Caenorhabditis elegans: one gene and its partner. The protein of the gene in region 1 purifies or fractionates together with the protein of each later gene. This does not show direct contact. Each region holds a gene or a part of one and is shown on either strand. Other genes may lie near its edges.

The links.
Region 2: the proteins of sdc-3 (region 1) and K11D12.13 fractionate together in Caenorhabditis elegans (co-fractionation; one large-scale study listed by BioGRID). This does not show direct contact.

Annotation. Positions count from the first base shown.
Region 1 is NC_003283.11:15,044,928-15,050,028, reverse strand, and holds the start of sdc-3 (Zinc finger protein sdc-3), read left to right. Parts: upstream 1-1,821; 5' UTR 1,822-1,923; intron 1,924-2,227; 5' UTR 2,228-2,237; coding exon 2,238-2,445; intron 2,446-2,978; coding exon 2,979-3,074; intron 3,075-3,121; coding exon 3,122-3,276; intron 3,277-3,330; coding exon 3,331-3,643; intron 3,644-3,820; coding exon 3,821-3,961; intron 3,962-4,283; coding exon 4,284-5,101. UniProt on the Caenorhabditis elegans protein: Component of the SDC complex that functions in sex determination and in X chromosome dosage compensation specifically in hermaphrodite (XX) animals.
Region 2 is NC_003283.11:5,031,527-5,034,717, reverse strand, and holds K11D12.13 (BPTI/Kunitz inhibitor domain-containing protein), read right to left. Parts: upstream 1,320-3,191; 5' UTR 1,310-1,319; coding exon 1,187-1,309; intron 1,091-1,186; coding exon 973-1,090; intron 927-972; coding exon 601-926; 3' UTR 547-600; downstream 1-546. Other genes in the region: K11D12.6 (BPTI/Kunitz inhibitor domain-containing protein), read left to right, coding at 1-164.

The DNA of each region.
Region 1 (5,101 bases):
TGATCTCTGCAAGTGGTACGACAGATCCACAAGCAAATCGGGAGGGGCCATCCAATCTCGGAGTACCTGTCACCCGGAACGGTTAAAAGCTAGCCTCCGGCCCAAAACAAGGCGAATCGACGCCAGAATTGCGACTTTCAACTGCAGGTCTGTCTCCTCCAACGACAGGCTTGCAGAACTGCTCGAAGAGACGAAGAGAATCAAGTTCGATATTATCGGACTCTCTGAAACAAAAAGAGCAACGGAAAAGCATGCAATTGGCGCCGACGGGGTCGAGATCTTTCTAGGATCTCGAAACCCAAATTCTGTTTCAGGAGGGGTCGGCTTCATCGTCACAAGCACCTCCTCCCCCGAATCACTGAAGTAGTTTTCTCCAAAGTAACATCCATTTCAACATTAATTTGGCGAAACTAGATCAAGTGAAAAGGAGAAAACCCCCGAAAAGAGTTTTGGATAAAGCTACAGCTCTGGCTGTCAGCGCAACAATTACTGCCCCTGCTCATGGAGATATTGATGAGGACTACAAGATCCTTGTCGACTCTCTCAAAACAGCCCAGGATCAATCAGTAATTCAACCATCCATCCACTCCGCCAACCGACTCTCGGAGGAAACTCGACAAATGCTCTTCAAAAGACGTCTTATGGACAGATCAGACCCAAATTTTAAGTAACTATCTATAAAATGTAGGGAAGCAGTCGAGAGAGACCATGAGAACTTTGCCAGTGCCCGCCTGCTAAAAAAAACTGAGTGACAACTGGGTGACAACTGAGTGATTTTTTTGAATCCTTATACTAGAAGGCCGAAGTAGCTAATAATTGAATGCTTTTATACACTCACGGTTCACTATAAGTCACGCATATAAAACTTACAAAAAATCGTAAATTGACAAAATAAGTCAATAGTAAATTATTTGCCGACCTAATATTACATTTCAAAATGTTGGCAAGTAACATCTCGGGTATTACACTCTCGTGGGAATCTCCAAAATGTTTCCATAGTTACTCACTCCATTACACTTTCAAAAAATCATAAACTGAACCAACTCTTCTCTCTCCACTTGCTCACACGCATGAATGTTTAGTTTTCAGAAGAAAGGTCAGGTCACTTGCCATCCAGATACGGTGGATTTTTAACAGCTCGCGCGTCCGTATGCTAGTCTTACATCTATCGATTCGTATATGCATATTTTTGTGTTAATTAGTTTTGTCAGGTTTTTCAAAACTGACTCTTGTGACAATTAGTTTCTGTTTCCATAGTTACTCACTCGTTAAACTTTCCAGAAATCATAACCCATAAAATATGACAAGTTATGTTAATTTTCTCTGTGGGTCTCGTCCTGATATCTAGCAGATTTCATCATTTGAAGCAATTAAAAATCTAAAATTTCTGATTTGATTAACACTTATTTTTCTTGAGCCAGAACTCAAAAACGGGATTTTATTTAAAAATTTGACTTTTTGCAATCTTTTAAAAATGGACATTTTCAAGAAACTTTCCAAGAAATTTTCAATTTTTGGCCTCTGATTTGAAAGTATGTAGAGACTTTTTTCTTCTGCTCAATTTTTTTTCTAGTTACCATAACCCTATTTTGAAATCAGTTATCTAAAACACTAGATGCACCCATGTGTTGTCCTCTTCTCTTTCCTCTTCATGTGTCTTTCCATCTCTACGTCTCAATCTCTAACACACTCTCTCCATCTCCCCCTCTCGAGATGTTGCGAACTACGCTAGTTGCCTTATAATTTTGAATGTGAGATTTTCCCGCGCTCATTTTGATTAATTCTTTTTTTATTTGCTTTCAAGATTAAATTCAATTTCAGAGAAAAAAAACAAGAGCCACTGGTAAATGAGAAGTTTTGGTTTCCGGGGATCCCGATTCCCAAATCACATTTAATCACTTCCTCTGCATATTTATTCAAAAAGTGAGTTTTTATGTTTTAAAATATTGTGAATAATTTTTATCAAAATTAAAATATAATACTTGAAGTGAAAAAAAACGGAAAAATATTATTTAAATGTGAAATAAAAATCTTGAAAGTAAAAATTCGAAAAGTTCTGAAATTTTCAAATTTTATCGCTCATTTCTAGTCATATCAAAACGTTATCAACTACAAAAAATTAGACAATAATATTATACAATTTTTTTAGTTGAAACTTTTTGATATCTTGTGAAACAAGCGAGACATAAGCTGTCAAAGTTTAAAAATCTTAAAATTTAATTTTCAGAGCATTAGAAATGTCTGACGAACCACCAATAGTGCTCCCAACTGAAGAAGATGGCCCATTCTCCAACTGTGTATCGATTGCATTTGTCAATGACAAGAGCATACCCGTGGAGCTACGAATTCGAAAAGCTATTCGTGGAAAAGTCACGTTCACTCAGGAACTTGTAGTCGCTGCACGTAGATTGTACCTGGATGGAGAGTTAGAAAGACCTGATCTCAGTGAGTTTATTTTTGTTGAAAAAAACTGATAGAAACAAAATAGAAATAGCATTCGATTCTACAAAAGCTGAATGAAAATATACATAAAATATTAAATTATTTTACACCTAATTTTTTTTTGAAAAAGTCGTCAACTGAAGTCATTTTTTAACACAAATAATATTCAAAAATATTCATTAAAACCGCAACAAGAAAACGCACTCTAGGAAAGCGACAGAAAAGGCAATTAAAATCCCTCGCCCAGATGGAAGCTGTTAAATAATTATCTCAAAATATGCAAATTTTTTGGTAAACATTTACATATTTTTCATTTTTAAAATTTCAAATAAAGTGTTTTTAATGGTTTAAAGTTGAAATTCCAATTTTTTAAATGTAAAATGTCAACTAAAAAAGACATTAAAATCCAAAAAATACATAAAAATATATAGAAAATGTGTTAATATTATGACAACTAATTGGAATCGTGCGAGGGCGAGTAAAGGGGCGATTACGATGCAACATGCATCATACATTCTAAATTTAATTTATTTCAGACTACCACGTTGCCGCCGACTTCTATGATCCATTTATGATCCCGGTACCAGATCACCGTAATTGGGAGTATAACCCTTTATATCCTCGGGAGTGGCGTAAGCTCAATATTTCTTTGGTTCTCCCTAGAAAAATAAATTTTCAGCTAGACTAATTGATAGAGATCTCGTCCAAAAGATCAAGATGTCCAATACGTACAAAAAGAACCAGGCGAGAAGGAAAAGACGACGACTATTAAGAATCTTCCATAGGAAACGAGGTGGAGAGTTTTTGAACTATTTATGGCATTCGAAGGAGAATGTGAGTTAACTTTTTTTTTAACTAAAAAATTTGAAAAACCTCTTAATCTTCCAGGACGTGCACTACAAACGGTATATGGCCGCCTATCAATTTCCTCTTCCATTCGAGAAATGTATCAGGGATGTAGTGAGAGAAGAGCTTAAAGATCCCGAAACATCATTTTCTAAACCACCATCAGTGGTACATCATTCGAAGATTCGACCAGCCACGCCTGATTTGTTAAAGTTGGCGAAATATCTTGGAAAGGATCGGTTTTGCTTTATTGTGACACCATTTAAATTTCGATCTCAATTCCGTTTACGTTACTACAAGAAATCTCCATTCAAACGTTCAAATATTCTTGAGAAATGGTTAAAGTTCAAAAAAGGTAAGGTTCTGATTTTTGCTTATTAATTAACTTTATCAAATTTTGTAAAATATCACACTTATAGTTAGCATGTTTTTCTTTCAATAATTTCAAATACTGTGAAAAACAAATTTCAATGCTGTAAAAATATGTTGCTCCCCAAAGTAAACTTGAGATCTAACTTCATACATGTTTTAGTGAGAGATCAAGGTGTGTTCAACATTCGAGATGCCGCTCGTGAAGTGAAGAAGCTACTTCAAAGGAAAAACGTCTACCATATGACAGACCCGCAATGTGAGCAGGAGTTCTGGGATGTATACAGACTTCAAATGCAATGGCGTAAGTTTTTGAGCACTTTTTAAAATTACGGCCTGTTTAGAGATTAAAAAATTTTGTGAATATATTATTCAATTTCAAATTTTTTCTTTTTCCCATTCTATTTCGCGGTTTCGGTATCAAACTTATTATAAGAGTGTTTAGGAATAGGCAACGATTTTAGAAACTTTCTGGAACAATTTAATTTTCTGAAAAATTTAAAATTAAAACAATTTCTGGAAAAACTACCCGGATTTGTTTGTCAAAGTTTTGGTAAATTGACAAAACTTCCCATTGACACAGCACCATGTTCAAAACTTTTAATAAAAAGTTATAATATTTTAAGTGGAAGAAGACAACATCGAGGAAAACATCACGATGCTTCGAGAAAATTTATCAAAAGTGACAGACGAGGAATTCAATAGATCCGTGTATATTATGAGACCAGAGAATCGAGCATCTATCCACGACGACGTCACATTCACCACCGATGCCGAAATCAATCTGAAGCCAATTGTTCTGGAACTTTTTCGAAATAATATGCCACTCGAAGATATCAGACAGGTTAAGGAATGTATTGACGACATGATTAACTTGACTGTCTGCCAAGAACTTATACCTCAAGTTGCTACAATTGAGACTGTTCGTGATTATTCTGGAGTTGAACAACATCGTTTAAAGTATATTCGCCCAGAAAATGAGCTGGAGATAATGTTCCAATTAGCTACCGTTCTTGTAAAAAACGAGAATACTCATGATCAAGAAATCACTTCTCCAATGTTTGCACTGCTTCGAACAGAACAATATTTGTGGTCAATTCCACTTCGACCATTTCTTCGAATGTACACTGACTGGAGGAAAACTAAACTTAATTTCAAAAAGTTTAGAAAATTCTCCCCGGAATTAGTCTCCAAAGCACCAATTGACTTATTCAAAGTGTTCCTCACAACTAATATGGATAAGAAAGGAGTTGCCACAAAAGACACGGACTGCTTTGATTACAGGACAGCATCTGAAATAAAGAAGCTTTACCATGAAGAGTTTATCAGAGTCCGACCAATTATAGAACATCAGCGTTTTCACAGATGTTACACCTCTGTAATTACCGAAGAGCCATTACCAAATCCATTCTATTGGGTACATAGGGGCCAATGGGAAAAAGTT
Region 2 (3,191 bases), about 10 Mb from region 1:
ATCAAGACAGAGAGCTCGTTTGTCCAAATGGAAAGAAGAAGTATGCAACATTCAGAGGAGGAAAGGACAGGGCGTTCATTGGAAAATCATGTGATCACAAATTCTGCCCAACAGGGTTTGATTGTCAGAAGGGAAACTTCTACTCGTATTGTTGTGCTAAATAATTTTTATTTCATATAATAAAACTATCATAATACATTTATTTTCATGTATGGCTTCCGTAGGAGGTGCGGTTTCCTGCCTGAAACCTGATGGCCACCTTGTTTCAATTTTGCATTTGGCGGCAGAGCATTATGCGATGGAGGTTTCACAGTGCCTGGCAATGTTTGGGCTCCGCACCGCACTATACACCAGTCGTGTCGTGAGACAGGCGGCGGTCGCCGGAAGGCAGGCACGTCAGGCGTTTTGGCGCCTGAAAGCCCTACGTCCACGATCAGTTCCAAAGTACATATAACTAGAATAGTTTTAGACATAGTAACTCATGCTTCCGTTTTTAAAATTTGCCAAAAAGGGGTTGGGATACCACTGCAACATCTTGCTTGTTCTGTTTGTTCTACAGCTTTATTTTTTCTCAATTCTTAATTTTTCATCTAACAATTTTCAATTTTCACAACAGTAAGAAAAGAACATCCCATTTTGGCAAGTGTACCCATTTGGACAAATGACGTCATCACAAGTCTTGGCAAGTACCGTTATTCCACCAATCTGCCACCGCGATTTTCCAGAAGGACATGTTGTAGATTGATCCTCTTTCAATCCAACTTCCACAGTTTTGTTGCAACATAGAGCCATCGTTGAAAAATATTTACACACAGCCTCGTCACTTTCACATCCTTCCCCAGTCTCCTCACTTGTTAACGGGCAGTTGTTATTACCACGGCTATCGAATATAGGTGGAGCTCCGAGAGCACACTGTATATATGTTTCTAAAAATAATACAATTAAAAAATAAATAATGGAATATCGATTTACTTTCGTCTACATTACAGTTCTGACCGCAATCTCCTGGAGTCTCATAATTGTTCACGTTTCCACCACATCCTTCGTATTTGAATGCATGACATATATTCGTTTTAGGGTCAAAATGGTACTGAAAATTCAAACAGATTTTGGAGAGCTAAAGCAAGGTTACAAATATAGTTTTGGAAAAGAAAATTTTTGGCAAAATTTAAACTGATTTACTCACTCTAATAGAAGCCTCATAAGAACAATTTGAAGATGTTCCTTTTGCTTGCGGTAGGTAACATTTTGGTGGATGCCCGAAGACAACCATAAAAGAATAGAAAATCAAAATTATTTCCTTGAGCATGGTAACACAGGCCACAATGAACGAATTTTCAGTTTTTATACTTTTATTTCAGAATACGTGCAAAGTGGAACAAAAAGTCGTTTGTTTCTTTTCTTCGATTATGATTCATGTTGAAATGGTGGTTTGACATGAAATTAAATAAAGAAGAAACGCTCAAATTCTAATTTTGAGCTTGACAGAGAAAATTTAGAGAGAAAAATAAAAACTTTAAATCACATTTCAACTGGTGTCACTATCAATTTTTCTTCAATTAAAAAAAAAGAAATAACATTTTCAGCCATTTTCCGTATTTTGTAGAGAAAGCTTGATAACCCGTAAGAAACTTGGTGAAACACTTATATTGCTTTAAAATTCGATATTTTATCTTCAGATTGAAAGTCTTTTTGCGGAAAAAAGCCTGAAAATTTGACAAATGATGTTGCAAATCAATACCAAATGATATATCTGGAAAACGCAAAAAAGTCGAGGGTAGGTCGTAAATCTGCCCTGAAAATCAAAAAAAAATTTAGACAGTTCTAAATTTTTTTGTTGCGAAATTTAAAAAATCATTTTGAAAAATTTAGAAAAAGTTTAATTTTTTAACAGTTATACTTGGTATATGGACACTGTTTTTTTGCCATTTTTGTTAAGGGAAAAATCCACAGACGCCCTACAAAAAAATTAGCGACTCTTTGAACTAGAAAAAAGTCGATCTGAACTTGCTTTTCGTGTATTTTTCACTCCGCCGCTAAATTTTTTGTAGGGACCTTTTTCAATGATCCTCTTTCAAATGGCATTGGTTTCATTTTGAAGTCTAAAAGTGAGCTGAAATGCTTTCTTTTTAAGAGTACTCATATAAATTTTAAGAAAGGTTGAATGTTTTTCTAAAAGACTAAATACTCGATGATCCTTTCCTTATGGCAATGCCATGTTCCATTGACCATAAACCATTATCAAAACAACAACAACAACCGTCCATGTTCTTTAGTGCATTGCATTCTCATTCCTCTTCTGCACGTGCATTACTTGGCCCCAACTGTCAATATCTCTGGCACTCTCTCTGTTTCCCATCGTCTCTTGCAGTCTCTTTCAATTTCGATCTCCACACCAACATACTAACACAGTTTCTTGGTGTGGTTTGGGGTAGAGGTATCATCTAATGTTGTGCAATTTTACATTTTTTCTTGATTTTAATCAAAAATTCTTATATAATGATTTTTTTTCAAAATGTTTTAAATCAAGAAGTGTGTTGGTTGGGGAAGCCTTTTCAACTCCTCCAAATTTTGCCTTTTGAACTTTGCTGTCAAATATTGACACATTCCTCTGTTCCGTTCATTGATATATTTCACTTTATTAGTGCATTCTTCTTATCATTTTTAAAGAATAAAAATTCGTAATATTCACTTAATACAAATTGAACTCGATTTGCCTGACAACACAACTGATACATTGTGACAGGGCACAAACTACAAATTTTTTGTGTATTTTTTTGTGTTCATGTTGTAAATCGTTGTTTCAATTCTCTTTAAAGCAACGTCTCATTCCACACTTTTATCATCATTTCGGTTACTTTTTTGCTGTTCGTGAAATTGGTGAAAAACTTTTTTTTTCGGTTTTCATTTTGACTTTAGTGATTAAAGATGAACTAACCGATCAATGTATTTGATATACTTTATACTTTAAAGATACTTTTAAAAAATTTCAAAACATTTATTGAAAATTTTTTAAGCGGTTTGAATTTTTGGTTTATCTCATTTTATTTCACTGCGACCCAAAAAAAAAGAAATTTGAAGATTTCAGCTAAAATTAAGCTTTTCTTCTTTAAAATTTGAACCGTCATGAAAAACGTTTTTGGAAATTTTAAAGGTTAAAATATTATGGTAAAACTTTTTCAATAAATGTT